6 linked regions of the Neurospora crassa OR74A genome follow. The protein of the gene in region 3 purifies or fractionates together with the protein of the main gene of each other region. This does not show direct contact. Links are inferred from orthologs where the notes say so. Each region holds a gene or a part of one and is shown on either strand. Other genes may lie near its edges. The genes, in order: NCU11053, rpn-7, rpt-3, rpn-3, rpn-6 and rpn-5.

Region 1 (3,146 bases), on a different chromosome or scaffold from region 3:
TAATAAATAATAATTACCATTAATTAGGTTATAGTAATATAATTAAAGCCGGGGATAAATTATAGATAAATCTATACTTAATAATTCGCCTAGCTAAGGGGACTTTATCCTATTGAAGGCGGATTTAAAATAAAAGGTTTATAACTTCTTCGTCGACTATAGGTATAAACCCTTATTTATACACCTACTAAATTCTATAGTCTAAATATTTACAATATTTAATACCAATATATTTGTATATAGTATAATAATAGATAGCGTTATTCAAATAATTAGAGGAAGTTTCCTTCGCAAGCATTTTCCTTGCAATACAATATTGGATCTAGGATATAAGAGAGTAATTAGATATTAACTTTATTTAAATTACTATTTTATTTTAAAATACTACCGTTACATACCTCGCTCTATAGAGCCTTAACCTAATCTTCGGTTAAACTATTAATATTTATAATATATACTATACTAAGAGTAGAAGACTTAGGGTATTTTAGAATAGTAATTATATAGTATATTATTTCGATAAAAATGGAGTATTAATTGATATTATTAAATAAAATAAGCGTTAGGCCTATAGTTTTAACTTTTATATAATTAATATTATAGGATTAATTATTAATTAATATAGGATATATTTAAAATATATTAATAAAGATTTATTAGGAAATTATTAAGTATTATAATATTAAGAGGGGTTATATCCTTTAAATCCTTTAATTTATTAAATTCGGCTACTATACTAATAATTTACTATAATTCGAATATAATAGACGGTCTATTAAATACTTTATTATTCTATTTAATTAAATTAAGCCTAGTAATAATAGTTAAAGTATTAGCGTTAGAAATAGGGTTAGTACTTATTTTATATTAAATATAATAAATTAGAGATTAATTAGGGATAGATTACGTAGGTGTTATTACGAATTGTTGTGGAAGGTTTACGGAAGGGTGAGTTCGGGCTAATATTATTTGGACTTATATATTTCTTATTTGTAGGTAAGTTTCGTTTATTGGGATCAAAAGCGCCGGTTATTTCTCTATAGGGAAAGTTAAAAGGTATGTATGCGACGTATTAAAGGGGTGATAGTTAATTGAGAGATTTTCTATAGTGTGGGGTCGGTCTTAGCGTATCCACTTGGGTTAGGAAGCTTTGGGTATGGGGTCGGGTTATGTGAGTACTCTACAAAGTACCTACCTAGGTAATTCACGAGCCAGCTAGGTACATACATACTCCAATCTGAGATCGAGATCTCATCATGCTTGGTGATTTCCACAACTGAGGCTTACCCTTTATAAGATATTACGAAATTACAACCCTTCACCATGAGCAATCTTCATGCGCCTACTGTCCCCTCGGGACCGACTTCTGCCCCTGTCACCAACGGCAGTGCTGCCCATCTATCCTTTGCTGAGCTCCAGCGCAAGAAGGATGCTATCGAGGGGGAGCTCAAGGCGCTCAGCGGAGTGCTTGATTCGGTTGGTCCAGTTTATATCCTTCGAGCCTTCATCATGCCAGTTGACTGATCAAATATTCCAGCACGGCGTTGACATGAACACAAACCTCCTTACTCCCGATGGCTTTCCCAGATCAGATATCGATGTTGCGCAAATCCGCACAACAAGGTCGCGCATCATCCATCTTCGCAACGACTACAAGGAGCTGATGGCCTTGATCGAGAAGCGTCTGCATGAGCATTTCGCCAGCATCCAGGACGACGACGAAGAGTCAACACCTGTTCCCACGGATCAATCCGCACCGCTGCCAGACTCGGTACCCGAAGTCCTGGAGCAGCCATTTGCCAAAGTCAACAGTGTCGTTGATAACAGTCCGGCGGCCACAGCAGGTCTCAAGGCCGGTGATCTGATTCGCAGCTTTGGTTATGTCAACCGGTCCAACCATGACAGCCTAAGGAAGGTCGCAGAGTGTGTTCAGGGTAATGAAGGGGTAAGTCGTGCCAGGCTCTGTCCATCCTCAGTAGTTGCCAACCTAGAGAAAGCTGAGCTAACCGGGTATACTTCGTAGCAAAATATCCTCGTCAAGGTCTCTCGGAGCACGGCAGGGACACGAACCCAAGAGCTTCGGCTAACGTTGACTCCTCGCCGCGACTGGGGCGGTAGAGGTATGCTTGGATGCCATATCTTGCCACTATGAAAAGGCAACCGGGGCGAGATGATGGCCTGGAACTAGGCAGAAGAAGATTGTGATACAAGAGTAGCGTCATTGGGCACCAAATCCGCTCAGATATGTTAGGGAAGAATCAGGATGCGCCATTGCCGCCTGGAAATGAGGCCTCTTTGGGAATTTGCTTTGTAATGAAGGAAACGACGGATCTGAGACTGACTGGCATTCGAAAGATGAACCAAAAAGCCAAGACGCCAGGGGGTTCTCCCTCACCGTAGTAACGAGGCCAGAACCAAAACAAAACAAACGAGCTTGAACGAGCAAACCTGATGACAAAATGGAAAAAGAGATAGATGGATAAGGTCGATGCCATGAGAGTGCGCATTCACTGTAGCCCAACGCTTGAAACCTCTGGTAGGTTCAGTTCTTTGTTCCCGACACGCGACTGTCAGCACGTCAGCACGTCAGGAGCAGAAAATAAGACACGAACGGACGGCATTGCGGCAAGACGGAGTGAATGGCAGCCTCATCGATCGGTTTGACTTTGCGCGCATCAGGTTCGTTGCCTTCAGTTGGTTGAGGGTACCGCACTGACCAGGCGGGTCACGTGCCCGTCACCTAACAAGCACCCCGCCGCCCAACGAGTTTTTCGTCAAGGCTGGTGGCCCATTCATTCCCTTGAGCGGCGGTGCCTTGAAAACACAACATCATCCACCAGGCTGTCTGAGGTCCACTGCTTCCTCTCTTTTTGACCACACCCATTTTCCCACCCTCTGCAAAATCGCAAAGGTGCGTCTCTAGTTCGATTTGGATCCCTCCCTCCCTCGCCCTTATTTAACCATTCGATACCCCGCCCATCTGTGTCGCTCCGACCGGTCGATAGCTGACTTTCCCAAAAGGACTTGTTTACCTGCTTCTTTTCGCCTGCGATATTAAGCATCATACACAATGGCTGCCGCGACCCCTACTTTCAAGCTCGTCCTCGTCGGTGACGGTGGTACCGGCAAGGTCAGTCCACATCCCA
Region 2 (3,929 bases), on a different chromosome or scaffold from region 3:
ATACCGATCGCGCGCCTGGTCGATAGAGACATCTGCTGGGTCCAGCCCAACATAGAGCTCTACGGGCTGTGGCGCCTGCTGCCATTTGCCCAAATCACCGCCCTTGCCGCATCCAATGTCGAGCACCAACAGCTGATTGTTCGAACTGATTCCCCGCTCACGAGCGCCAGGCGAGTGGTCTTCGTCAGGAGAAAACTTCTGGATGATACAGCTCTTGACCCAGTTGTTGAAGGAGCGGAGACCTTTGATGCGACTGTCCGTCTTACGCCAGTCACGGCCACGCTCGGGCACAGCATTGTAATGGGCACGTACGACGTCATTGACCGCGTTGCGGCGCTCAGCTTCGGCGGCCGCTTCTGCCTCCCGCTGAGCCTGGCGCTCGCGCTCCATCTGACGTTGACGAATCTGTTCGCGCTCGGCTTCCGTGATGCGGGCACGTTGGCCAGGCCGCTTCTGCTTTCTAGGCTCGCCGCTGGTAGTGGGGGTTTGTGTTCTCTTGGCCGGAGCTAACTTGCGGGCATCAAACGGCTGTGGGAGGACATCGTTGTCGTCCTCATCTTCGTCATGCCTCGCAGACTTGTATCGACGGTCTTCGTTGCGGCCATTGCGGTCGTCGTCGTAGGGCGATTCTGAGCGTTGCCTCTTGCGAGTGGACCTATAACTGGTGTAACCATCGTAGCCTGACATTTCTGGAAAAAACTGTTGGTGTGGTCTCGCAAGGAGACTTGATCATCGGCAAGAACAACTATGGCAAGCGTACAGGCTTCGTGTAACAGCAGAATAACTGATGCGACGGTGAGTGGTGTGAGTTGTGATTTTGACTGTTGATATCGATTGATGCGAGTACAGACACAGGCAAATCCTGAAAGTGAATTCTGGGACTCGAAATTCGGTATGTCGAAGTTGAAAGCTCTTGTTATTGTTGTTGTTGTTGTTGTTGTCGAGGAGAGAAAGCAATTGGAAAGGAAGTCGGGATGCAAGTGTTTTGAGGATGCAAGCATGGGTCGGTCGGTGTTTGAGCCGATGAAGTGTGCCTGCCCGGGCACTGTTCCAGCGGCTCCACTTGCAGGCCTGGCCCGCCTTCCAAGCTCTGTCTCCACTTTCCAGTGCTGACGCGCGAGCTCTGGGGGCCTTGGTCACTCTCCAGTGAGGTCAGCTACTCTATCGACCTTCCGAACCATTCAAGGAGCACCACAACTAAACCACAGACATCACCACCACCCAGCCTCACCTCGACCCGGCATCTTTGGTAGAATCACAGCGCCAGGCCAAGTCACACATTGCGATCCAGTTTCCAAGAGCTTTCAACACCGCGAAACTTCCCATCTTAAGCCGGCATCCACCTCCATCAGCTGCTTGCCGATTTCCAGCGGGGTGCTTCTACCAGACGACGGACACTGACCAGCACCGGACCGTCTTCCATTTGCATCCTCCTCTCCCATCTCCCTCCTTGGCTCGTAAGCTAGCACCCATCACAACTACAAAATGGGCTCCGATCCTCAATACGCGAAATGGCCTCTGCTGCCCCTCGCCCAGCATGTCTTCACCCTCACAAACCCCTACGCCGCCCGCCCTGCCCAACAAGCGGCCGTTAAGAACCTTCAAGATGCCATCACCGAGCACAAGATGGCGCCCTTTTACCGATACCTCGCGCACCCTACCGAGGGTGTCCTTAACTCTGTTGGGGAAGGCGGCTCCAACACTGCCGGTGCCGGAAGGTTGGGTAGGAAGAGCAGCATCGCCGCCGGCATGATCGCGACCCACAAACCCACCACAAGCTTAAGCCTACCGTGGGATGAGAACCTGTACCAGCAGCTGCAGGCCGAGAACGAGAAGGAGCTTGAGGAGTTCCAAAAAGAGGAAGATGAGGCTGTCGAGAAGGCGGGAGACACAGAGATCCAGGCTGCCAAGGGAAAGAGGGCCGAGTTCTGGGCCCGAGTTGGCGATAAGGTTGGTCACTACAAGTTCACTTAGCTACCCATCCACTCCCACCAACCGACATATACTAAGCATACACTCTTCCTATTCAGGAAAAAGCCATCGCCGCGCACCAAGATCTGCTCGAGAAGACGAGCATTCTAGGTACCAAGATCGATCTCGTCCTCGCCTTAATCCGCCTCGGCCTCTTCTTTGGCGACAAGCAGCTAGTCCAGAAGACTGTCGAGCGCGCCAAGTCGCTTGTCGAATCGGGCGGCGACTGGGACCGTCGCAACCGCCTCAAGGCCTACGAGGGTCTGCACTTGCTCACCGTGCGCAACTACAGCGGCGCCGCCCCCTTGCTCCTCGACAGTCTGTCCACCTTTACCTCGTACGAACTCTGCACCTACAGCAACCTGGTGGTCTACGCCGTGCTCGCCGGTTCCGTCTCGCTCAAGCGCGTCGACTTCAAGTCCAAGGTCGTGGACGCCCCCGAGATCAAGGCGATTCTTGGCGACGGAGAGGACAAGCTGCTCGCACTGACCGGCGCCATCTCGGCCGGCCCGGGAGCCGACGCCTCGATGCAGGACGCCGATAACGCCCCCGTGGCGGCCCGGACGGCTGTAGTTAACCTGACCACGCTCGGCAGCAGCACGGAACAGCCTGAGGCGGAGATGGCGGTCGACTTTGACCCGCTCGCGCAGCTGGTTAGCAGCCTGTACAACGGCCGGTACAAGCTCTTCTTCCAGGCGCTGGCCCTGGTGGAGGAGCAATTCCTCACCCAGGACCGCTACCTGCACGAGCATAAGAACTGGTTCATCCGCGAGATGCGCCTGCGCGCGTACCAGCAACTGCTGCAGAGCTATCGCGTTGTGGGACTGGATAGCATGGCCAACGACTTTGGTGTTACCGTGGATTTCTTGGATCGGTTGGTTTTCCCCTTGTTTTTGTTCTACCCCTCTTCCCCCCGACACAAGTTCTATATATACTGATCGTACATCACAAAAACAGTGACCTAGCAAAGTTCATCGCCGCCGGCCGTATTCCCTGCACCATCGACCGCGTCAATGGCAAGGGTGTTATCGAGACCAACCGGCCCGACGACAAGAACAAGCAGTATCAGGACGTGGTTCGCCAGGGTGACCAGCTGATTACCAAGCTGCAGAAGTACGGACAGGCTGTTCGGTTGAGGGGAAGCGAAAGGGCGTAGTAGAGAACCAACTTGAAGAGAGTTAGAAGCTAGCAGTGAAACAAGGGGAAGGTCAATGATGTATAAGCGAGCTGTGCTATCGTTAGCGATTACCTTGGGAAGAAGGGAAGGGGATATGAATGATCAAGGGCATGGATTGAGTGGATGGATGAAAGGCGGAGAGAAATCAGAAGAGAATAGAGCCTAAAGCAACCTATCACATTAAATTGTCGTTAGGGCCTAACTCGTCTCTAGTAAGGACAAATGACACAAAACGACTTGCTCCTCATTGTCACGGATATTGCATCATGTGTTCATAAGACTCCGTTTCTTCTTGTCCAGGCTTTTTTACTTTTGTATTCGTATGTCCCTCGTATCCTGGATAAGGCTACGTACATACGTGCAATGCAAAAGGCTAGCAAAAAGTACAAACGCTGAGGTATCATCAAAGATCCCATAACCAACCAACCAACCAACCAAACCAAACCAAAAGCCGAACCAAATCGCTCTTTTTTTGTCCTTCATACTCCGAGTTCTGCTTGGTAAACAAGATTTCGCTCGCTTTTTCCGTACCATGTTTCCCCTCAACTTCATTATCCGGTCCCGGCGCTGGGATGGGCAACATATCTATCCCTAAGGTAGATGAGCGGACAGGGCAGGTGACATTCTACAAGGGAGAGAAGGGATGATATCTCCAGGGTCACACCCTGTTCTTCCGCGGCAGCTTTGATACTTGAGGGGCTGCAGAACCGATGAACGAGCGCCCCCCTTGTGCGCAGCGTCATAGTCAGACCATCCATCCATCTCGAGGACACTCGACACC
Region 3 (3,935 bases):
ATTCATGGACGCACGGGATTACACCGGATGCTTGAAGGGGTCTCTTCCTTGCCTGCGTAGGGGACCCGAGGATTGACGGGTGGATGGAGTTCAGTTCAGTTGCATGTCTATGTAAGTCTGCACTTTCCTGCGCTTACAGTAAGTATACCGCTCTGCAATTCATGTTGTACTTTTACATAAAGTTCCTGAATCGTCCTTTGTCGTTATCGTAACTTCACACCGAGACACGCCGGATGACGGGAGCCCAGGCTGATCTGCTTCAGGGCTTAAGATGTTCAACCCCAGTTCCTCAGACAGTCACCGGCTACGCACGCTCTACTGTACTGTATAGAGAAAAATAGTGTATCGAGTCAAGCCAGCAATTTAACCTTTGGACTGCCGCAATTCAAACCCCAACTACGCAACCCTCTCCCTTCTCATTCATCATACGCCTCGCGATCCCTCATCAGCACCGCTTCATGGCCATGATGCGTTCAGACGGGCCCGAGCCAGGCAAGGATGTGTTAGCTAACACACGGGATGCAGGGTGGTGTATGGTGACCACAATAGCATATCATCGCCGCATCATTCGATCCAAACAGTGGAGAAACTGGTATCGGCCGTCTTCGGAATGACAACTCGATCCCTTATCGCGGTAGTGTACGTTGAGCCACAGAGAAGTGATGTTACGACGATGGGATCTGCCATATCTCTCAACCTTAATTACACCACGTCGGGTATTGCGATAGCATGCAAGACATATCAAACAAATAAGAGACGATTGTCAATAGTGTAGAGGTCAAGCCAGAGACAAGTTACGGGGGGAGGACGGCGGACGACAAGCCGACCTGGCCGTCAAGGTGACACTTCGTGACGCCTAGCAAGGGTACCCGTGTGGATGTGGGGTTGAGAAAGGCTGGAGTCGCTCAACTGCGATGGTGGCACCCAACTTGAAGTGGAGGTCGACCTGCATGGAGGGGGGAGCCACCGACAAGGCTCCCGCCGCTTCAGTTCAGTTCAGTCCAATCTGCACTGTCCGGCAGTCACCCCTTGACACTGTCCAACAGCCCCACTTGCAGCTGGAGCGTCTCTGGTGAAGTGCGACTTTTGGCTACAAAAAATGGAGCATCTGTCATCGATAAGTGTGGCACTTATACAAGCTATATTGTACAAAGCAGGCACCGTAGCTGTGCTTGGTAGTCCACTATAACTGCCAGAACGTGGTCATCCAGCCAATCACTGTGCTTATGGCAGCACCCGGCAACGCAGGCTCCAGATGAATGACGAGCCACAGCTAGCCCAGCTTGCTGTTACTAGCAACAGCGACCACTGCATCAGCGACTGCTAGCACCGACAACCTACTACTGACACGCGCCACAAGGCGAACCTCGACGACGACAACAGAACAACAAGAAATACCACCCGACCGATCCCCCAGACCCACGTCAATTACAATCGCGCATCTGAGCGCTCGCGATACAACACACGGAAACATATCGATCAAGCCATTTAATACCATCACAAGAAAACATCCGCCAAGATGGGCGACGTCCTTGTCGAGACCCCGGCCAGTGTGACCCAGCCTCAAAAGAAGTCCGCCCCTTCGGCGATCCCCAACATCGAGACCTTCGAGGGCGTGTCAACAGAGGGCGGCGATGACTACATTACCTTGAAGAAGCTTCAGAGGCAGCTAGAATACATCAAGCTGCAGGAGGAATACATCAAGGATGAGCAGAGGTATGGTCACAGAAGCTCCACGCGCTGAGAGCTTGATGAGGAGGGGCTGACAACATGGTATCTGGCAGGAGCTTGAAGCGTGAGCTTGTACGTGCCCAGGAGGAAATCAAGAGGATTCAAAGTGTCCCCTTGGTGATTGGACAGTTCATGGAAGCTATCGATCAAAAGTATGGCCGCCCAATGCAACCCCCCGTCTTCAAAACTGGCCCAGACTAACCCTTCCTCTCAGCACGGGTATCGTTCAATCCAGTACTGGCTCAAACTACGTCGTCCGTATCCTTTCGACTCTCGATCGCGAGCTCCTCAAGCCCTCATCCTCCGTAGCGCTCCACCGTCACTCTAATGCCGTCGTCGATATTTTGCCGCCCGAGGCTGACTCCTCGATTGCTATGCTCGGTGCCGACGAGAAGCCCGACGTTACATATGCCGATGTTGGAGGGTTGGATATGCAGAAGCAGGAAATTCGGGAAGCCGTTGAGCTGCCCCTAACACACTTTGATCTTTACAAGCAGATCGGCATTGACCCCCCGCGCGGTGTCCTTCTCTACGGTCCTCCCGGTACCGGCAAGACAATGTTGGTCAAGGCGGTCGCAAACTCGACGACAGCGAACTTTATCCGCGTCGTCGGTTCCGAGTTCGTACAAAAGTATCTCGGTGAGGGTCCTCGCATGGTGCGCGACGTCTTCCGCATGGCTCGTGAGAACGCGCCCGCCATCATCTTCATCGACGAAATTGATGCCATTGCGACCAAGCGTTTCGACGCGCAGACGGGTGCCGATCGTGAGGTGCAAAGAATTCTGCTCGAATTGCTCAACCAGATGGACGGTTTCGACCAGACCGCCAACGTCAAGGTGATCATGGCCACCAACCGTGCCGACACCCTCGATCCCGCCCTGCTGCGTCCCGGTCGTCTTGATCGCAAGATCGAGTTTCCCAACCTGCGCGATCGCCGCGAGCGCCGTCTCATCTTCACCACGATTGCTGGCAAGATGAGCTTGGCCCCTGAGGTCGACCTTGACAGCTTGATTGTCCGCAACGATCCTCTCAGCGGTGCCGTCATCGCTGCCATTATGCAGGAGGCCGGTCTGCGCGCAGTACGGAAGAACAGGTACAACATCATCCAGGCTGATTTGGAGGACGCCTACAGCAGCCAAGTGAAGGGTACGAGCGACGAGAACAAGTTTGATTTCTACAAGTAAACCATCGGCGTCATGGGCTAGCTGTGTTGGGGTCGAGGACCACGGAACATGTGGGAGATTGCATTTTGGGTGGGTTGGTGCTATGCTTCTTGCTGCCTTGGGAAAATATAGTTTGTGCCCCAGATCAGCAGGGACTATAGACTTTCATAGAAGCGAACCAATTTGTACACTAGCGAATAAATCTAGAGCGGTACCAACATATATATATATGTGCGTACCTCTCTGGAGTTGCTCCAACTGAAAAAGTAGTAACACCCAAACGAAAAGAAGCAAGATGCCCTGGCTCCCAGCTGATACTATTTACATGTTCAGATCAACTTGCTCGGCGAAATTGAGTTCTCAGTGCGCTTTCTTTCTCTCCAGGTCATGGTATGCCACCATTTATCTTGATACATATGTAGATACATCTACGGCTGTATGGTGGTTCTCCGTTCCCGAAACGCCGTAGCTATAGCAAATCCCATTTAAATGAAGGGAGGATATGTCGGAAAAATGTAATGTGCTTCAATATAGATTCTTGTCTACTGAAAAATGATAAGGTCGGCTTGGAGAACATTTCTTGTCAGGGGGGAGGGAGGGGAAGAGATGATAAGAAAGGGTAAGACACCGTATCTACAGCATGTCCTCCCTTATGGATGGCAAGAGAGGCCAGGGTCGGGTCGTACTTGGGTATTCCAGCGAGTAAAATCCGATAATACTATCCTACATACATATTGATAACAGGACCTTGAGTGGTTACCTCAAAATTTTAAGTACCACTCAGGGCGTCTACACTATGGTAGTTCCTAGATATCGTTGCCGTCACTTGACATTCATTAAAAAAAAAGTGAAGGAAAAAAAAAGGACTTATTGTTTAAACTTCAAAATAACCTCGATGCTATTTGAGGGGTAAAGGGTGTATATCCTCCATGTGACTATTTGTAACTACTACTTGTAACTACCTACTTGGGATTGTACCTAAGGTAGGTATCGTTGTAGTCAGTCTAACACACTCACTCAGTCCCCTCTCCCGCCGCTCAC
Region 4 (4,189 bases), about 130 kb from region 3:
CATCCCCACGCTCACCCCAACGCTATGCCCCAGACCATTCAGGCCTCCAAGTTCCCCATCGCCAAGTCCCTGCCGGAAAAGGCGACGCAGATTCCCACGCCCGTTGCAGGCCCGCCTGGTCGCCCGACTCTGAGCGGTGGCACAGCCGGTGTCGGCGTCATGAATCAGCCCGTCTTGCAGAAGACCCCGGCCTACCAGCTTGAGGGCGAGGGTGAGAGGGTTTTGAACAAGAAGAAGCTGGACGAGCTGGTTCGGCAGGTGTGCGGTGGTACGGCTGAGGGCCAAGACGGAAATCTCTTGACACCTGAGGTTGAGGAGGTACGTTGTTTGCAACCTGATAATCCTTTGTTTTTCTTTGCGGAAGTCCGCGGTCATTCCTTAACCCCCTTTAGCAAACTCACAAAGTCATCACCACACAACCAGCTAACGTGGCATTCCTTTTCAGTCCGTCCTTGGTCTCGCCGATAGCTTTACAGAGAGTGTCCTCCACGCGGCGTCCCGCAATGCAAAGGAGAGAGGATCCAAGGTTCTTGAGATCCGCGATATCCAGCTTGTTTTGGAGCGTACCTACAACATCCGTATCCCTGGCTACTCTAGTGACGAGCTCAGGACGGTTCGCAAGGTGCAGCCCAATGCTCAGTGGATCACCAAGATGAGCGCGGTGCAGGCCGCCAAGGTCATGCCGGGCAAGGGGGATCTTTAATGGAAGGGTATTCAGACCAGAATGAACAAGAGGTTTCGGGTCTCGCTTGTTTGCATGGATGTGGTAATTCTTTTGGGGGTGGGAAATGGAAAAGGGTGGCGTACCGGATGAGACGGAGGAAATACATTCATCTCGGGATACTTGTATGCTTATCCCTGGCATGAGCTACCCATAATATGGCTTAGGTTGAAGCATCAATCCTTTATGGGTTACGAAACAAGCTCCAAATATAATGGGTTGCAAGCAAGTGCAGATTTGCCGTGATATGCCAGATGATGCAGGGTTCAGGAGGCATATGCATATTCAACCCCGTGATAATGCCATCTTGGGAATGCAGACAGAAAGCGAGGACCATATATTGTATAGGCAATGGTTGCTAACACCATCCTGAAATAGGAGCCATGTCTCCCAAGACCAACTCAGTTTGTAAAAGTCTACATTGGTGGTCGAGGTGGTAAGATGTTTTGGATGTTGTCTACCCTACACTTGTAGTACTTGTAATGTAAGGTGTACCTAAGTACCTAAGTACCCTGCCTCGAGCCTGCCTGGACGTCGTCGACAGGCAGCACATCAACAACGTCAGTGACGAGCCGCAGTGGACCCATTCAAGACAATCTGGCCAATCACAATGCCTAGATGTGTGAAGCTCTTCTGGAGCTTGTCCGAAGGCCACCATAGCACTCACTCACTGCACAGGGCGGCCCTTCAGTTGGTCGTCCGCTCTTGTATGCTGGCCCAACCGTGACCGGTAGGTACTTCCTTTCAATCATCAGCTCAACAACTCCCATCAAGCAAAACACGGGTCTGTGAAGCTTGAACTTTCCTTTCCTGCACCGAACTCCGAGTACACAGCTTGGATTGAATTACCTAGGTAGTTATCCATCGACAACGACGACGAAGCAGTTTGCCCTTGGCCCTCGCTTAACAACGCCGACGACGAAGTCACCCCCATAGATACCTCCCTCTCTACCTCTAGTGCTCCATTCCCCGCCTAGAGCTAGATCCACTGCGACTCTGCCAGCTGCTGCTGCTAAAGGTGCTTGCTCCAGGCTTGCAAGAAGGGCGCGCTTCGCGAGATCGCCCCAAGCAACTCGAACTCATACCTCTGCTCTATTAGGTTGCCCACCAAAACGGCGTCATCATCACCGCACCACAGCATTCCAACATCACCCACCGCGCCAACGCAACCGTCAACCCCCACCACATCATCACCCCGTTTCCCATCGACCATCGGGCCGTTACCAACACAGCAACCACGACCTCCAGCCCAGCCAGCCTATAACCAAACCCGGAGCCGCTCCAGATAAGGAACCACTTGAGCACGGAAGCTATTGGGGTGGAAAGGATCTCGACATGACGGACAAGGATACCAAGAAGTCGGGAAAGCAAGGCGAGGACGAAATGACCGTCGTAGTCCCCCCTCCCAAGAACAAGCAGAACTCTGCGCAACCTCCCAACGACGCCGATGGCGACATTGCCATGGAAGACGACACCAAGGCCGGCGAGGTTGAGGCCCAGGTCGACCCCGTCGCCCAAACCATCAGCGGTACGGTACCTTCCCAGTCCCCAGCTTCATCTATCTTTGTGAGCTGAACTAACCATCACTCGCTTGCGCAGACATCAAGAGCAACTTTGCGCTGCTAGACCGTGCTGTTGCCCTGTTCGATCCCAGATTCTCTCTACGGGCACTGCGATCCATCTCGTCGATCCGGAAACGCCTGACGCCCGACATCCTCGCACAAGTCGTCTCAGAAACCTTCTCCGCGTCCTCACCCAATACTCAAGTTGCCGAGCACCTGCTGCTCGCTGTCGACCGGCCAAATGTGACTCTCGGCAGCAGCTCAGACATGGAGATCGACTCGGGATCCAAGTCGCCAGCGAAGAACGGTGGCAAGAAGGACCCCAAGGAGGTGATTCCTGAGATCGACATCTTCCTAGGCATTCTGGCGCAGGTCCACCTCTACGACACCAAACAGTTCCAGCGCGGATTCGCCCTGTCGCGTTTCCTATCCGAGCGTATCCAGTCCCTCAACCGCCGCACATTAGACAGCCTTTCGGCCAAGGTGTACTTTTACTTCTCGCTCTTTGCCGAGCAGCTCGCTCCCCTCCCGCCTTCCCCCCAGTCGCCGATTGTGTCGATCCGCCCGATCCTCCTCGCCGCTCTCCGAACCGCCGTGCTACGAAAGGATATCGACACCCAGGCTTCCGTCATTGTCCTCCTGCTCCGGAACTACCTCCTCACGTCGCATATCTCCCAGGCCGATCTGCTGGTGCAGCATACCCAGTTCCCCGAGAACGCTGCCAACAACCAGGTCGCGCGTTTCCTGTACTACCTCGGCCGTGTCCGGGCTATTCAGCTACGGTACACCGAGGCCCATGAGCATCTCACTGCGGCGACACGGAAGGCTCCCTCGAGCGCCTGCGCACTTGGCTTCAGCCAGACGGCCACCAAGCTCCTGCTCGTCGTAGAGCTCCTCATGGGCGACATCCCCGACCGCGCCATCTTCCGTCAACTGACCATGGAGGCCACTCTCCACCCGTACTTCCTGCTCGTCCGCGCCGTGCGCGTCGGCAACCTCGAGGACTTCGAGACCACCATCGCCCAGCATGCCGACACCTTCCGCCGCGACGGCACCTATAGCTTGATTTTGCGTCTGCGCCAAAACGTCATCAAGACGGGCATCCGCATGATGAGTTTGAGCTACAGCCGCATTTCGCTCCGCGACATTTGCATCCGCTTGCACCTCGGCAGCGAGGAGAGTGCCGAGTACATTGTGGCCAAGGCGATCAGGGACGGCGTCATCGAGGCCACGCTCGACAGGGAGCGCGGCTTCATGAAGAGTAAGGAGGTGGGCGACGTGTATGCCACCAGCGAACCGGCCGAGGCGTTCCATGACCGTATCCGCGCCTGCTTGGCTCTGCATGATGAGAGTGTCAAGGTATGTTTCTTTTTTTTCTTTCTCCCCCTTTCAAATTCCAGAAGTTATGATAGATTTGTTGCTCACAAATTCTTTCTTTGCAGGCCATGCGTTTCCCCATGAACCAGCACCGTCTCGAGCTGAAGAATGCCCAGGAAGCACGAGAGCGCGAGCGTGATTTGGCCAAGGAGATACAGGAGGGCGATCTGGATGAGGATGATCTCGGTGGTGACTTTGAGGGCATTTAAGATGTTTAGACACACACACACACACCACACACGAGTCTAAACTACCTAGATAGACCCCGCCCAATACCTATAATTTGGTCTTGGGAATAGTCATCATCATCATCCCTGTTGTATCTAGTAATCTGGTATGGAATCGTGCTATCGCCGGCCAAGAAATAAGACGGGAAGAGAGAAGAGACAGAGCCTTATGCTAGAGAAAATACGCTACAACCGTATATCACCTACCATCTTGCCTCACTTGTTCATTAGACGTATCCACTGTGTATCGGGCACAACCACCCATCAACATTTCATGCATGCTTTTTTTCGTTTGTTCCTCA
Region 5 (3,963 bases), on a different chromosome or scaffold from region 3:
CTCTACTACCCCCACTCCCCCACCCTCTCTTCTTTCCTGCACCAAACGTACCGCCCCTCCCCTCAACAAACCACCTACGACCCCGTCACGCGTCTTCCCATTGACGAGTCGGTGGTGATTGAGCAATGGCATTTGGACGTCGTCTACAAGTTTCGGGAGATGTTTAGACGGGCGTGGGGAACAGATGAACTTTACGGTGGTGTGTTTGCGATGGATGAACAGGAAAAAGGGGGGTGGAGTGAGGGGGAGTTGGTCAGACGGGTGTATGCGTTTTTGGTGGGCGAGAGGAGGAGGAGGGAGGGACGGGTTGATAGGGGGAGGAGAAGGGGGAGGGGGGTTGTTTGTTAGTTTATGCGTCGTGATGTGTATTGAGCATGGGAAAGGACATGAAAGAATGGGCATAGATGGATGGTTGGATGGTTGGGAAGGGGAGAAGGGAAGAACAGTGAAAGAAGGAACTGGATACCCAAAGTATAACTGGATGGACGGATGCATGAGTAGGAGATACCATGTTGTTAAATGGTTCTTTGTACAAACATTGGTTGTTTCTAGTTTCTGAAATTTGGACATACGATATCACATATCTGCAACAGTTTGAAAGACCAGACCACCGTCATTGCTCAAAACTTAGACTTATGATCATGCGGTTTATCGTGTTTGTTTCAGTACGCCCGACTAATACCATATCTAAGCGTAATGTTACAGACGAACCCCATGTTGTAAACCCCTAAACCATCCATCCATCCATCCATTTAAACCCTGCTTCTGCCTTGAACCTCGCTTTTTTTTTACTCAAGCTGCGAGGCCTGGTTGGTATAAAGCACATCAACCACATTGCTAAGCTTCTCAATGGTCTTCAGCGCCGCATCGTACGCCTCATCCCGGTGCGTCTCATCGTAAATAATGAGGCAGCCGGCGCCCTGGTCCAGCACTCCAATGATCACCTTATCCAGGATCATCTGCGACAGCTTTCTTTCCACCTGCTGGGTGTCCAAGCCGACCATCTTGGCGATATGGTCAATCTCCACGCGGCTGAAGGGCTCAATGACCTTGATCAGGTTTTGCTCCAGCATGGCATCGTACAAGCGTCGCAGGTGGTTGCGGATGAAGGTGTCACTACCCAGCTCATAGCGGTAAGCCGCCAGGGCGCGCTCGTACTCCTCGAGAGATCGGTTGCTGTGGGCGCGGGCAATGGCCTTCATGGCCTCGAGCGACTTGCCGGCGTACTTGACGGCCTGCTTGGAGGTCATGAGCTGGTTGACGTCATCGGCGAGGTTGAGCATGATCTTGCAGAGCAGCATGTACTGCAGCGCGGCCTGGGCTCGCTGCGGCTCCTCCTGCGTGTGGTAGCCGTCCAGCGCCTCGATAAAGTAGCTGAAGGCCGTGTTGAAGTCCTTGTCCTCGGCGTGCAGCATGCCCGACTGCATGTCCAGGTTGGCCTGGAGCAGAGGAGGGGTGTAAACGGAGGCGGCGCTCGTGCGCGCGCTGGTGAGGGCGGCGCGGGCCTTGGCAATGTTGCCGAGGGCGTGGTATACCCGCGACTCGAGCAGCTGGACTTCGACGAGGACGAGCTTGTCGTCCATGCGCTTCAGCTCACGGAGGAGACCGTTGATGAGCGTCAGGGCATCGTAGTAGGACTGCTTGGCCATGTACAAGGCGACAAGACGGGTTTCGAGGTTCTGGCGGAGGAAAGAGCGGCGCTCTGATGTGGCCCATTCTATACACGACTTGGTGACGGAAATCTGGATGTCGAGAGAGTCGGGGATGGCTTCGAAGAGGTCGAGGAGCTGGCGGACTGCATGTATCAACCAGTGTTAGTATCCTCATGAGCTTGTATAGCGCGTCAACAAAGCTGATGGCGGGGTCGTACCAAGCTTTGCCGTCTTTGCCTTTGCGAACGAGGAGAGAACTGTGCGGCTCTGGGTTACGAGGTCTACAAGGCCTTGTGAGTTCCTGTACACGGTGATGGGAGGTTAGTGACCGTACCCCTCCTCGATGACCACGACATACACCAGCCACTCTTACTTCTCGTCGCGATAGAGCTCTCCCAAGTGAATCAAAGCCGTCTCGTATTCCCGGATGGCCGCGTCAGAGGTGACTGATGGCGGCTTGGAGATGATATCCTTGTAAATCTGCTCGGCCTGGCGGGGGTCGGTCGAGACCACCTTCTGCGCCTCGCGCACTCTCTCTGATGCTTCGCCCTGGGCCATGGTGTCGTGTGCTGGTTGTCCCGGTCGCCAAGTGGTAAGCGGTAGTAGTATAAATCGAGAGTTTGGCTATCGGATTGGATGTGATGGTGATTACTCGAGGTCGCGGGGGGATATGCGGCGTGTCGGTGGTCGCAGAGTGTCGGCTTGGAAGTTGTGGTTGTTGTGGTGTTGAAGTTGGAGCTCAGGTTGTTCTGTCGTGACGAACCTCACCACCCGTCCTCTGCTGGAGCACAGCTGTTACCCAAGTCAAGTGCAGGCGGCATGTCCACTAACGAGACCTCTGTACACTACGTACCACCGCTAGGTAGCCAGGCGCGACGTAATTAGCTGGAGACATCCACCTACAGATCCCTGTCAATTCACGGCAGGCAAGCCCAGCTCTCGGTAGCTCAGGCCCTGTCCATCCTTTTGGCAGCGAAGCTCTAACATTCCAAGCCTAAGCGTTTAGCAAACTGCCAAGAAGGCGGTCAAGATTCTTGCCGCCAGACCCCGCCAAAATTTCTCCAGAGGAAGGGGAACGGGAGCTGTCAAACTGCCCGTGTCCGACTGTGCTCCCCAATTGGCGACAGACGCTCCCGGCATCCATCCATCCATCCATTCATTAATTCCAACGTCGATAACTGTATCACAGCACCTGTGCTTTGCGACAAGGTGTACCGACAGACTTCAGCCATACCCGGCCTCATCATATACAATTATTCACACTCGATATCCGTCGGCCTTGGTAGCCTTCTCATCCACGACCCCTTCAACATCATCAACAGAGAAACACCGTCACCATGAAGGTACTTGGGCCTACCACACGCGACGCCCATCAAGATTCGCAAACCCACTTCTAGGCTCACCACTGACACTTCTACAACAGATCAAAGCCCTCAGCCGAAACATCTCGGCCCAGCAGGCCCCCGGTAACGACGTCACCCGCGCACCCCGTAACCTTGCGCCCGAACTCCATCCCTTCGAGCGCGCTCGCGAGTACAAGAGAGCCCTCAATGCCGTCAAGTTGGAGAGAGTCTTCGCCAAGCCCTTCCTCGGCCAGCTAGGAAATGGCCACGTTCAGGGTGTCTACAGCATGGCCAAGGACAAGAACTCGCTACACACAATCGCTTCCGGTTCGGGTGACGGTATCGTCAAGGTCTGGGATCTCACAACACGGGATGAAGCATGGAAGGCTGCCGCCCACAACAATATCGTCAAGGGAATGACCTTCACCAACGACAAGAAGCTTCTCACATGTGCCACCGACGGCATCAAGCTTTGGGACCCTTACACCAAGACCGACTCCCCAACGCCACTCGCGACATGGCAGGAAGGTGGTCCATACACGGCTCTCTCGTTCCACCGCAACACCAACTCCTTCGTTGCCTCTTCGGGCGCCGGCTGCATTCGTATTTGGGATCTCGAGCACAGCACGGCTCCTCAGACGATACAGTGGCCGAACCACAGCGACACCATCACCGATGTTTGCTTCAACCAGGTTGAGACCTCGATCGTGGGTTCCGTCGGCACAGATCGCTCCGTTATTCTGTTCGATTTGCGCACCAACATGCCCGTCATCAAGACTGTTCTCAAGTTCGCCGCCAACCGCATTGTCTTCAACCCCATGGAGGCGATGAACATGGCTGTTGCCTCAGAAGATCACAACGTCTACCTCTTCGACGCCAGGAACTTCACCAAGGCGCAGAATATCCAAAAGGGCCACGTTGCGGCGGTTATGGACGTCGAGTTCTCTCCTACCGGCGAGGAGCTCGTG
Region 6 (4,124 bases), on a different chromosome or scaffold from region 3:
GTAGGCTGTTTGTGTGCTTTCTGGGCGACACTTGGGAGTATCGGCATGAGTGAGTGGGTATAGTGATGGTGTAGTGTACTGTATTTCAATTTCTGAACGTGGAAGACTGCACTTTACGGAGACATCAACTCGGGAGGAACGACTACGAGGAGTTTCCCCACATCATAACAGTCTCTACCTATGCTCAATCGACGATGGCCATGATGTGCATCTGACGGGTTCCCATCGATTGTTCCCGTCCTGGCATGTCATGCTCGGATCATGGCATGACATGGTAGCGCCGGCTACTGCCTTGGTTATTGGTTGATGTCTTGGCCAATATGCATGCCGATGTTGCCGGGGGCAGCGGGGGTTCAAGACGACCGGGGGTCCGGGCACGCGGCTGGCACTCTTGATACCTCCAGTCTCACAACGATACATATCACGCAAAGCCTCAAGGCGTCCGCTAAAGTATTGGGCGGTTCATCACTGTCCACTGGTGAAGCTGGAGAGATGAAGCCCTTTCGTATTATCACTATTTATGCGGGCTTGATTTTCGAACAACCTGCAACAACCTACGGCATCACTTGCGTACAGGCAACTGGAGCCTTCCGTATGCTGGACATCTCGTTTTCTACCTGGCAGTAAACTGCGCTCCCTTCAACCGGGATATAAGTCATAAATAATTACGTCCCTTGTGCTCCATAGTAGTCATGTCTATTCATACAAAGCTGCTAGTTCTTGCTGTAATGCATCCAGCCTTGCTTTGGCCCACGAAGTCTCTGCCGGGAAGATGGCGACTAGGGAGTAATTTGACTCGACGGCTTCTCGCCTCGCCCTATGGCCGCGATGGTTACCGTCTGTTTCTGACCACAACTGGGGTCAGTGCAGTAAGGAAGCTTGAGCTTCTCTAGCGCGCCGCCGCTTTCTCCTTACTGCTCTTCTTTGACGACTTTGCTCCGGGTTGGATTCTTGCCATCATTTCCTCCTTGGTAATCAGATGGTCAATTCTTTCCAGGTGGCCTAGCAAGCTCTTCATGTTGAAGCTCCACTCGTTGAGGATATCGTCCGCATCCCGCGGCTTAGCAAAGCTCACGATGCGCGCCGGGCGGTCGATCTTGGCATAGACCGTTTTGGACGTCACGAGCTCGCTGATATACTTCTCCGTCTCGTCCTCGGTCAAATCCAACAGCTGGGTAAGGCGATCCACACGAATGCGCGTGTAATACTTGGCCACCACACGCACATTATGCTCGATGACGCGCTTGCGCAGGTCTTGCCAGCGCTGGAAAGCCTTGTCGTCGGCTGACTGGTTGGGCTCCGAGTCGAAGATCTCGGTGCTGCAGAGGTGTGGGCCAAAGATTTTGGAAACCTCGGGCCAGCGCATGAGCTCGTGGACGGTAAACAGCTTCAACAACTCGGCATCCTGAGGGACCTGTGCGATTCGTGGGTCCTTGTGGATTCTGTGAAGGAGATCGTGTTGCTCGTTGTCGTGAGGGGCAAGGATGATGAAGTAGATGATTCTTTGCAGGACCTGTCAACCCATGTTAGTCTAAGAAGATCGCCATGTGGTGTGTCTGAGAAGCTTACGGCCTGCAACTTGGCGGGGTCCTCCTCTACTGCCTCGGTATCCAGCACTTGACGGTAGTACTTGCAGACGTCGAGGTATCTTGAGTCGTGCTTGGCCAAAATGATCTGTTGTTCGTAGTATCGCAACTTGAGGTCGGTGACATCATCTTCCTTCTCCTCGGAAACCTCCTCACCCCTGGCCTTCTTGGCCTCCCTGTCCTTCTGTTCCTTGTCGAGCTGCTCTTGCGTTTTCTTGGGCCTGCGCGCAAGGTACTTGGTGCTAATCTTTCTGCTGAGAATGCCCGCCTGTGTCCAGTCCTTGCTCTCTATGCAAAGCGCCACCTGAGCCAGAATGAATTCCGTCTTTTCCCTCCTGTCCATGGAGCCAAATGTCTCAACCTGAAGCTCGCACAGGATATCGGTCGCAGCCTTGAGATCGCCCTGCTCTTTCTTGATGTCGGAGAGAATCTTGGTGACGCGTGCGCGCTCAACCTCGAGAAAGATCTTGCCCTCGGTAACGGTGCGCAACGTCTCGATGACGGAGAGCTTGGTCTCCAGGTTCGGGGTTTCTGGGAGGAAGTCGATGACGGTCTGTACCATCTTGGTGATGGCTTGTTTGAGCTGGCCATGTTTCTTGGAGAGAACAAGGGTCTGGTCGTTGAGCAAGCTCCAGTCGCCTGCATTCTTGCAGATGGTAACGATAGCGACCAGGATGCGGGATGTCGATGCGAGGTCGGAAGCCTGTCGTCGGCGAGTGGTCAGCGTGAAGGAGCGGGGGACAAGGTAGGTGGTCCAGCGTGCTTACCTGGCGCGTCTGCTTTTCGAGGACAGAAAGCTTCTCGATAGCCGCTTGAATGTCTGTCTACAAGGGTGTTTCATTATTAGTATACGGTCTGCAGACGGTGGCAACCATGGGAGTTTTGCGATTACCTTGGCCAACTGCTCGGCCTCGGGCAGCAGCTTGTCGACTTCCTTGGAGAAGTCCTTCTCCGGCTTGAACGCAGGCTCCGCCATGATGTGCAGTATTGAGGATGTGTGGATAGGCGCTGTCAGACTATTTCAGGTATCGTGGGCTGGGCGGCGACTACACTGCGTTCGCGATGGGTTCGTGTTGTTGATGTTGTGATGATTGAGGGGCAGTTCGTTTGTTAGGTTGTAGGTTGTTTGGAGACTGAGGTGCTCTTGGAGGTACCTTGAGTGTCGTCAGTCCAGCGATTGGCGTAGTGAGGTGCTGTGGTTAGGTCGTCACGGTAGCTGCCCTGCTGCTGGAGTGGGACCTGTCACTGCTAGCAACCCAAGCACACTCACTGCAGCGGTACGTACTTGGGGGTTGGAGGGCGGCCTGGTGTGGGTCCTTTTCTCCCCCCCTCTTCATTAAAGAGGGGGTAAAGTAATTGTGGGACAGCGTTTTATTATGGGACAAGGCCGATGGGTACCATATAGATTTGCTTATTAACGCCCTGTAAAATCGCTTATTTGCATCGTAAAATCGGTAATAGCGTTGCAACAAAACCGTACCCTAATTCGTACAATTTTATTGCGTAAATCTATGAAAAATAAGCAGTCTATATATATCTATAGATTAATAGTAAAATTGTTAATTTACCGTATAATACCCGTAAATTTCGATTAGTACTTTAAGGAGTTGGACGAAGCGTCCGCTAGCTACTGTGGCGCCCGTATATATCTTAAAGCTTATTGGCGCTTTAAAACCCTTAGAAATAGGGTAACGAAGCTATTAATTGTTAAGGATATTACTGCTATTACTAGTAAATCCCGTATATTGATCTTTTATTATATTAAATCGCTACGCGAATTCCAAAAGCCTGCCGTCTCGTCGCACCCAATAGGAAAACCCTATATACTAATAAAAGCTGAGGAAAGTACTATTATATTGTACGTAATATTCTACTTTCAAGGACGGTTCCTAGCGTTATACTAAATAGTTATTATAGCGGCAAATCGATTACGCTTATTATAGGGTACACCGGAGACCTACAATACAATATAATTAGCTAGCTTCCTCAAAGACTATCTAGAGTTCAAAACTACTATTTACTGTATAGTTAATATTAAAAGAAGGTTTTAGGAATTAAATAAGGAGTCTATTAACGAGTAGTTTAACGAGTACGAGGTTATTATTAAGAAGTACGAAGTTGAAAGAGGCGATATTTAGAACTATAATGAGATAGGGGTAAAATTCGGTTGCGTAGCGGGTGGGCGAGTAAGGGTAATTGTATTAAAGGAGCTAGTAAAGTAAAAGCTAGAGATTAACGATATTATTAATTGCGAATCTACTACGCTTATAGTAGGAGTAAGTGTAATGGGGTACGTAGTATTAACGTACTTAATATTTAAGACCGACCTAATAGAAGATTTCCTTATTAATAATTTAAATAAGGGGGTTAGATTTATTAAATTGCCGATTAGCTTCTCAAATGTAAAATTTACCTTCGATTAATTAAAGTACTTTAACTATTATTCTTTTTACTTATTATTGACTTTTATATAGTTAAAGGAGGAGGACGGTTATAAATTGGGAGAAGAAGGGTTCTCTTTTACTAAGTAGTTTAAGT

What was found.
Region 1: the proteins of rpt-3 (region 3) and NCU11053 purify together in Saccharomyces cerevisiae (affinity purification with western blotting; 5 studies listed by BioGRID, with this or other methods). This does not show direct contact. The link is inferred for Neurospora crassa OR74A from reciprocal best matches to the Saccharomyces cerevisiae genes RPT3 and NAS2.
Region 2: the proteins of rpt-3 (region 3) and rpn-7 purify together in Saccharomyces cerevisiae (affinity purification with mass spectrometry; 4 studies listed by BioGRID, with this or other methods). This does not show direct contact. The link is inferred for Neurospora crassa OR74A from reciprocal best matches to the Saccharomyces cerevisiae genes RPT3 and RPN7.
Region 4: the proteins of rpt-3 (region 3) and rpn-3 purify together in Saccharomyces cerevisiae (affinity purification with mass spectrometry; 4 studies listed by BioGRID, with this or other methods). This does not show direct contact. The link is inferred for Neurospora crassa OR74A from reciprocal best matches to the Saccharomyces cerevisiae genes RPT3 and RPN3.
Region 5: the proteins of rpt-3 (region 3) and rpn-6 purify together in Saccharomyces cerevisiae (affinity purification with mass spectrometry; 6 studies listed by BioGRID). This does not show direct contact. The link is inferred for Neurospora crassa OR74A from reciprocal best matches to the Saccharomyces cerevisiae genes RPT3 and RPN6.
Region 6: the proteins of rpt-3 (region 3) and rpn-5 purify together in Saccharomyces cerevisiae (affinity purification with mass spectrometry; 6 studies listed by BioGRID). This does not show direct contact. The link is inferred for Neurospora crassa OR74A from reciprocal best matches to the Saccharomyces cerevisiae genes RPT3 and RPN5.

What each region holds. Positions count from the first base shown.
Region 1 is NC_026501.1:9,336,028-9,339,173, forward strand, and holds NCU11053 (26S proteasome non-ATPase regulatory subunit 9), read left to right. Parts: upstream 1-1,179; 5' UTR 1,180-1,323; coding exon 1,324-1,476; intron 1,477-1,537; coding exon 1,538-1,945; intron 1,946-2,023; coding exon 2,024-2,152; 3' UTR 2,153-2,646; downstream 2,647-3,146. Other genes in the region: ran (GTP-binding nuclear protein GSP1/Ran, variant), read left to right, coding at 3,071-3,130. UniProt on the Saccharomyces cerevisiae protein: Acts as a chaperone during the assembly of the 26S proteasome, specifically of the base subcomplex of the 19S regulatory complex (RC).
Region 2 is NC_026506.1:2,285,886-2,289,814, forward strand, and holds rpn-7 (proteasome regulatory particle), read left to right. Parts: upstream 1-1,129; 5' UTR 1,130-1,485; coding exon 1,486-1,950; intron 1,951-2,030; coding exon 2,031-2,845; intron 2,846-2,928; coding exon 2,929-3,127; 3' UTR 3,128-3,444; downstream 3,445-3,929. Other genes in the region: NCU03971 (mRNA cap guanine-N7 methyltransferase), read right to left, coding at 1-687. UniProt on the Saccharomyces cerevisiae protein: Component of the 19S cap proteasome complex which acts as a regulatory subunit of the 26S proteasome, involved in the ATP-dependent degradation of ubiquitinated proteins.
Region 3 is NC_026507.1:3,146,038-3,149,972, forward strand, and holds rpt-3 (26S protease regulatory subunit 6B), read left to right. Parts: upstream 1-1,135; 5' UTR 1,136-1,519; coding exon 1,520-1,716; intron 1,717-1,784; coding exon 1,785-1,883; intron 1,884-1,945; coding exon 1,946-2,915; 3' UTR 2,916-3,608; downstream 3,609-3,935. UniProt on the Saccharomyces cerevisiae protein: The 26S proteasome is involved in the ATP-dependent degradation of ubiquitinated proteins. The regulatory (or ATPase) complex confers ATP dependency and substrate specificity to the 26S complex.
Region 4 is NC_026507.1:3,274,541-3,278,729, reverse strand, and holds rpn-3 (26S proteasome non-ATPase regulatory subunit 3), read left to right. Parts: upstream 1-1,389; 5' UTR 1,390-2,056; coding exon 2,057-2,249; intron 2,250-2,320; coding exon 2,321-3,642; intron 3,643-3,725; coding exon 3,726-3,869; 3' UTR 3,870-4,163; downstream 4,164-4,189. Other genes in the region: NCU02223 (hypothetical protein), read left to right, coding at 1-318, 446-703. UniProt on the Saccharomyces cerevisiae protein: Acts as a regulatory subunit of the 26S proteasome which is involved in the ATP-dependent degradation of ubiquitinated proteins.
Region 5 is NC_026502.1:2,996,535-3,000,497, forward strand, and holds rpn-6 (26S proteasome non-ATPase regulatory subunit 11), read right to left. Parts: upstream 2,472-3,963; 5' UTR 2,211-2,471; coding exon 2,026-2,210; intron 1,954-2,025; coding exon 1,871-1,953; intron 1,796-1,870; coding exon 789-1,795; 3' UTR 501-788; downstream 1-500. Other genes in the region: NCU01597 (hypothetical protein), read left to right, coding at 1-348; NCU01595 (SOF1), read left to right, coding at 2,990-2,995, 3,076-3,963. UniProt on the Saccharomyces cerevisiae protein: Component of the lid subcomplex of the 26S proteasome, a multiprotein complex involved in the ATP-dependent degradation of ubiquitinated proteins. In the complex, RPN6 is required for proteasome assembly.
Region 6 is NC_026501.1:3,064,196-3,068,319, reverse strand, and holds rpn-5 (26S proteasome non-ATPase regulatory subunit 12), read right to left. Parts: upstream 2,801-4,124; 5' UTR 2,563-2,800; coding exon 2,479-2,562; intron 2,411-2,478; coding exon 2,354-2,410; intron 2,290-2,353; coding exon 1,570-2,289; intron 1,514-1,569; coding exon 890-1,513; 3' UTR 444-889; downstream 1-443. UniProt on the Saccharomyces cerevisiae protein: Acts as a regulatory subunit of the 26S proteasome which is involved in the ATP-dependent degradation of ubiquitinated proteins.